2 linked regions of the Bombyx mori genome follow. The protein of the gene in region 2 purifies or fractionates together with the protein of the main gene of each other region. This does not show direct contact. Links are inferred from orthologs where the notes say so. Each region holds a gene or a part of one and is shown on either strand. Other genes may lie near its edges.

Region 1 (4,298 bases), about 1.8 Mb from region 2:
ATGAAGAAGCAGTGCGTATTTTTTGTTTTAAAAATAGGTATACGCTTTCATGATATGAACAGTAGCATAATCGCATTGTCTGATACGATACGAGTAATCTATCTTATACTTTAAAGCACGACGATTTGCTACTAAGATTTAAATTTGTTTTTTATTTCACCGTCTTATGAGCTGCATGAAAATAATATAGGACAGAACACTACTTAAATGAATAATAGGACATTTTCAGAGCACTTTGACATCGATAAACACATTGAAACATGTACTTTTAGATAAACCACGAAAAACAATTTTTTTCCATACCTATACTGATAGTCTTGAGAGTTTGAGAGGCTGTATCAACGTTACCGAACGAGTAGGTGAGCTCACGGGGCTCAAACTTGGCGAAGTTGCTAACACTGACCGTAGCAAAAGCAGTGCCTCGCAGAATCCACCACCGGATCGAAAATGCGACCCAAGATCCGGCGAGAAACTCATTGAGGTGTGTCTGTGCGTTAATATACTCGCTGAGCTCTTCGTCGCAAGCGACGGGTTCGACGAGAACGATGACTGGTGCTTTAGGTACCTAAAAGCACCGTTAGTGGATCGGGAGGATCCGAAATGATCCTGTGACACAGGGTTAGTTTAATCGCCGAGCCCTTCTTCGCAAGCGACGGGTTCGACGAGAACGATGAATGGGAATAACAATCATCTACATCTCTCCACTAGATCATAAGGCCGATTACAGTGCTCCACCGACCGTCTGTGCGTACGTCAGTCGCGCTTGTCGTTTATATGAAAATTCATAAATCATTACAGTGCTGGACTGACCGTACGCACGCGCATGTTGTTACGCATTGCGTACGAGGACCGTCGGTCTAGCGCGTCCGCATGCGTGCCGTCAGTCGACCGACGCGCTATGGAAACAAATGAACGCGTTCTGTGTTGCACCGATGGGTGGACCGACCGTACGGATGTGTGTATCATCATCAAAAAAAGCATATTCGTATTGAACGTGGCCAAATATATCGACACCGAGCGCCTAATCACCGAAGTTCGTCTTCGTGAACCGCTCTGGGACAAAGGCCACGTGTTATATAAAGATCGTGATGGCAAGTTAAAGGCCTGGCAAGAAGTATGTGCTGATAATTCATCAAAACTTGATCGTCATTCTGAAATAATTTAAAAAACTTGAACGTTCCTTAAACGTTTTCGAAAATAATAAGCAGCAATTAAACTATTTACAAACGCTTCCCTTTTGCGTACCGACTATACCAATCCGGTCAGATTGTTGGTCAGGAGAGCACTGAATGAAGAAAACTGATGATCGGTTAATGCGTACCGTCAGGACGGAACATACGCACAGACGGTCGGTGGAGCACTGTAACCGGCCTAAGGAAAGATATCTAATCGAAGGAGATCGACTTAAATCGAAGATCGTAATCTAGGATCGATTTTCTGAAAGCTCAGTTCATTCATAGATAATACAGTTTGTTCAAATTTCAAATTGGTTACCCCTATTGTAAAGTAATGTAAAGCCTATTAAGTGTATAATCTATGGTAAAGCCATTTTGAATTTGTCCCGCACGGAAGTCGTGCGTTTTGTCTTGGTGAGTATCAAATTAAATCTGAACAAATATGTAAATTTAGATGATTAAATTCAAAATTAACCAGATAATATTCATTATTAAGAGTATTGTGTAAACCTAAAACAAATATTTTGTGATTAACGTAGTCAGGATCAAAACATACTTTTAAGTAAAACCTGTATCGTTTTCAGTCCTTAAATTTCATCGAAGTCCCTACGCCACACTATCCAGGATGGGTAGGGAGGACAAGGCTACTTGGAAGTCTAACTACTTCGTTAAGATCATCGTAAGTAAATTAATCACATCTAATAATGTCCACATAATATGGAACTGGAAACATGTTTATTGTCAGGTGAAATATACATTTTAATTAGAACATAACTCATTTTAACTACAGCAACTCTTGGACGAGTACCCAAAATGTTTCATCGTGGGTGCCGATAACGTGGGCTCGCAACAGATGCAGCAGATCCGTATCTCGCTACGTGGCTCCAGTATCGTGCTCATGGGAAAAAACACAATGATGCGCAAAGCCATCAAAGACCACCTGGACAACAATCCAGCCCTCGAGAAACTGTTGCCACACATCAAGGGCAACGTTGGCTTCGTGTTCACCCGCGGAGACCTCGTTGAGGTAATGTATTTCAATTAAATTATCTCTAGTGATTAATATAGCATTTCAATAAGTTATCAATAAGCAATTCCTTGAGGTAACAAGAGTTGTGTTCAATCAGGTCATCATTAGTGGTTAGTATAGCAATAAGCCATAGCTCCGCTGTTCCTGAGCTGAACATGAGCAACTGGACACTTGCCTCAGATAGCCTGTATGCCTGCTAAGGCTTATGGCGAAAAATACATCAAATTATATCATATCATAAAAGAGTATCTTATCAAAATGTATGTCATGAAAAATACCAGTTTTATTTAAAATGTTGCGTTTTAAACCTTGTTTCCTTCCAACTAGTGATTTCATTGGTTTTTAAGAAACCTATCATATTTTTATTAGGTCCGTGACAAACTGTTGGAGAACAAAGTCCAAGCTCCAGCTCGTCCTGGTGCCATTGCCCCATTGTCAGTCGTCATTCCCGCCCACAACACCGGCCTCGGTCCAGAGAAGACCTCTTTCTTCCAGGCTCTTTCTATCCCTACCAAGATTTCAAAGGGTAAGATTTTAATACTGTATCTACATATCTGCACTATCAGTAAACAAATTTTAGTATTAAAAAGTATACAAGCTAAAATTGAAACAATATAATATGCGGAAATACTTTTTGCAAGTTTTTCAGATCATGGGGGTTATTTGAGCGTTATAAAAGATGTGTTAATTTAATACTCTTGGGCAAATTTATATAAGGTTGATTACTCATTAAGGAAAAGTATTTTATCCACTAAATGGAATAATTAAATTTCATGTTTTTTTACTACCAATTACAAAACTATTGTATGGTAATGTTGGGATAAACTAAAAAAAAAACACTGTTGAATCAAAAAAAAAGGTTAATTCCATAATCCTATGGCACCTTAAGTTCTATTTACTTTTACATATTCAAATAAACCGAAGTAAAGACCAACAAACCTATAATAAAATTGAAATATTAACTATATAATATAATAATAGCATAGTTGCTTTTACACAACAGTATCATTGTCTGTTCTAAAACCAGTGAGCTTTTTCTATCTCTCTGGCTTCGCTTTCAGACTAAATGAAACTCTTACAACTTATCCTAGTATAATTGTTCCTAAAATGATAATTGTACTGGCATTTGTAAGAAACAAGTCTATTAAAAAAAGGAAATCTCTACTAAGAAAAACAGGATAACATTGCAAAGAAACCATAAAAGGGTTTTGCTGTGAATATTTCAAACTTACAACTCAGAGTTGTTATTGTTAAAAGCTTTGATTATGTCTAATTTATCTATATCTTTGAGTGTATCCAATAAAATTAAGGTTATTTTTATTTTTAAGGTACTATTGAAATCATCAACGATGTACACATCTTGAAGCCCGGTGACAAGGTTGGAGCTTCTGAAGCCACCCTTCTCAACATGTTGAACATCTCTCCATTCTCATATGGTCTTGTTGTTAAGCAGGTCATTATATTTTCATTTTATTTACACATAGCTTATTAATTATATTTGACATTATGAGCTATATTTATACAGGTATATTAATAAAGTAAGCTACAATTATAGGCATTAAATTGAAAATTATGAATACCCATAAACATACCTGATTATATTCAATGTTTTTCAGACACAGTAGTGTGTGCTTATCATTTAGTATACAGCTTTTGTCATGCCGATCTTTCAAAAAGAGTGGACCAGAAATAAATATGTATATGCACACTAGGCAAACCCATTAAACAGTTTTAAATTGTTTAATTTCTTTAAAATGTCTTTATTCAGTGCTAAAAAAATTATACATTTAAAGCAATAACACAAAAAAAATCTGACAGTACAATGTAAATCTTAATGCTTTCTTTTCTTTTTCGTTTGAACTTTCGTTTGATAAATTTACATAATTTAGCAAAAAGAATTACAGTGTAAATATATTTTTCCAGATCAATCCTTTGACACTTTTAATGTTGTAACCACTATTGGACCATTATTAAATAAAATAAATTGGAATTGTTTTGTTGTAATGGTCTATTAATAATATCAGGAATATGTACTTGAATAATCCAAAGTGTTGAGTACAGGATACGAGTATGTCTAAGTATTCTGATAATTT
Region 2 (2,889 bases):
CTCTTGATTTTCTAGGTCTCCTTCGGGGGCGCTCGGGCAGCTGTTAGCAAATCCCACCCCTCCTGGCTGAGCCTTTGCTCGCCCAACTGTCCTAGTGAAAGTGGAAAGGCCTCCGGGCCACCAGTAATCTTTCAATCATAAAAAAAATTGGGCCTTATTATGGGTTCATCTACCAACAATGGCCCAAAACGGTGGTTGCGATCAGAACGCGATTTGGCTGTGCCCCTGGCATCGCTGACTTCTTAGAGCCAGGGAAACCATTCATCAGATGAGCCGCATGCCTGTTAGTTTACAATGACAATAAAAGATAATTTATTTTCATCTTGACTAAATTCTATTCCACATCGAAAGAACAAATCATATTAAACTAACTATATAACTTATAGACCAGTCCAATTTAGATTGAAATACATTAAAACTTTATTAGGTAGGTATATCTTATGCGTATAAAAAACCGAGGGGCCTAAATCAAATATTAAGAAGTGTGTTAATGTTCTTAAAAAGCGAATAAAATTTATTTTAACTTTAGTAAAATGATAACGGTTTCAAATATCATTTTAAACTAGACAAAATAACGCAGATAAAGTATTTAAAAACTCGATACACGATATATAAGCCTATGAATTTTTAACCTACATAAATTCGCTGACCCTCTATATTTTGTCCCAACACAAAGCTTTCATAGAATCCGAATAAAGTGTACACGGTACAACTGGAAGAGATTGATTGCATGCTATTCGTTTTTTTTTTGTGTTATTCCAATAGTTTTATTAACTGCTACATACATAAGTTTTATAAATAGTTTTAATGATTAAAGAACTTGGACTTTTTGGCAGGAACGCGAGGAGTGAAGTTGTGTGTTTTTTTTTATTTTGTCTATTTAGTGTTTCTTCAAGTTTAAATGTGTCAGGCTGTATGTCGGAGATTCAGTTAGTTTATTACAATATGCCGATAACTTGGTTATTTAAATGTCTGACATGTCTTTTCCTTCGTTTTTTATTATTCATAAAGTGTAAATAATTTAAACGGCGAATTATAAAAATCTTATTACTTGACACATGCATAACCGTGTCGGAGCCAAAAAAAGAAGAACAATCCTGGTCATTAAAAATTAGGTATGTATTTAAAAAATGACATTGACAAAATGAAATTATGACATTGACAATGTGACAGTGACAGCTCAGAAAACTGCTAATTCGAACATAACCTCCTTTCCTGTTTCTCTTTGTTGTCAGAACTCAAACGTGCTTGTTCTCTCTTGAGCTAAGGCCTACGGCAACTTGCACGTTCAAAACTAAAAATGGTGTCAAAAGCTGAATTAGCATGTGTTTACTCTGCTCTCATCCTGGTTGATGATGATGTTGCCGTAACTGTAAGTAATCTTAATATTTGTAATTTTAATATTTTAAGGTTATTGAAGAATGTTTGTGTGACTAAATCCACGAACATCACACAAAATAGCTACAAAATCAGAACAACCAAGCATTTGTTTAGCATAGTAAACGTCTATTTTGTTAAAAATTCTGTATATTTTCCATTAATCTTAACTATTCATTTGGCGCCATATCTTTCGTATACTTACTTGTAGTTTTTTTTTCTAAAGTAAATATTTTTATGTTTTTGGAATCTAATGACAGTTTTATTGAAATAGGGTGAGAAAATTTCCACCATCTTGAAAGCGGCGGCTGTAGATGTAGAGCCATATTGGCCAGGTCTGTTCGCCAAAGCCTTGGAAGGCATCAATGTCCGTGACCTGATCACCAACATCGGCTCTGGAGTGGGTGCTGCTCCGGCCGCTGGTGGAGTGCCAGCCGCTGCTGCTGCAGCCGGCGCTCCGGCCGAGGAGAAGAAGGAAGAAAAGAAAGAGGAGGAACCCGAGGAGTCCGACGATGACATGGGCTTCGGTAAGCAATCCATACATATACATGCGATATTCAAAGTTTATTTTTGTTCAGATTTAAGTAGTAATTTATATTTTTATTTTTAAAGTTTTTTTTCCTGGGTAAAACATCTTTAATCTATTAAAACAAAAGTCTATAAAATGAATAACAGTTTCTAGTAAACAAATAAAAGGAGTACTTAATTAGAATGATTTGTTGAAAGATTATTCTAATAACAAAGACAAATTTTATCATAATATGTAAACTTCAATGATGTTTGATCATGTATTAGCTACTGAATCTTTTGATTGAAAATTTTTTACTGAGTATGTGGAGAATTGTTTAGGTCTTAATATTTGTAGTTAACATGTTCATCAATTTAATGTTATTTTCTGTTTCAGGTCTCTTTGACTAAGAAGCTTTATGAAGAAATAAAAATATTCCATTTTGTCTATTGTAAAGCTTTTATGTTATAAGAAACTGACTTTATTAAAATAAGTTAAATAAAACCATTGTCTTTTTCCCTTTTTCTATAATGGCATACGTTTACATGAATAGCAGTGTAGGACTAGTGTTGCCTATGAGCTTGCCTACACATTTAGTGAAATTAGCATAACCAGATTAGCCAATATATAGGTGATTGAACTGTAGAGATATTTGTAAGAAATAAAGAAATTTCATTTAATATTTAATTTAATAACATTACTACTATCATAGAATAAATTAGATTTTCAGCCCCACATAGCCCTCTGTACTCCTGAGAGTTTGTTGTAATCCGCTAGATGCCTCCAGACTATACGACTCATGCGCCATTCCTTTACTATACCTCTGGGTCTGAAATCAATTTCATATTAAACTTTTATTGCTCAGATTGGTGGACGAGCTCACAGGCCATCTGGTGTTAAGTGGTTACTGGAGCCCATAGACATCTACAATGTGAATGCAACACCCAGTTTGAGATATAAGTTCTAAGGTCTCAGTATAGTTACAATGGCTGTCCCACCCTTCA

What was found.
Region 1: the proteins of RpP1 (region 2) and RpP0 fractionate together in Homo sapiens (co-fractionation; 5 studies listed by BioGRID and IntAct, with this or other methods). This does not show direct contact. The link is inferred for Bombyx mori from reciprocal best matches to the Homo sapiens genes RPLP1 and RPLP0.

What each region holds. Positions count from the first base shown.
Region 1 is NC_085121.1:15,549,623-15,553,920, reverse strand, and holds the start of RpP0 (ribosomal protein P0), read left to right. Parts: upstream 1-1,498; 5' UTR 1,499-1,589; intron 1,590-1,759; 5' UTR 1,760-1,800; coding exon 1,801-1,854; intron 1,855-1,965; coding exon 1,966-2,202; intron 2,203-2,574; coding exon 2,575-2,731; intron 2,732-3,533; coding exon 3,534-3,658; intron 3,659-4,298.
Region 2 is NC_085121.1:13,787,245-13,790,133, forward strand, and holds RpP1 (ribosomal protein P1), read left to right. Parts: upstream 1-1,150; 5' UTR 1,151-1,300; coding exon 1,301-1,372; intron 1,373-1,651; coding exon 1,652-1,987; 3' UTR 1,988-2,281; coding exon of another isoform or gene 2,282-2,295; 3' UTR 2,296-2,389; downstream 2,390-2,889. Other genes in the region: mRpS14 (mitochondrial 28S ribosomal protein S14), read right to left, coding at 2,612-2,714. UniProt on the Homo sapiens protein: Plays an important role in the elongation step of protein synthesis.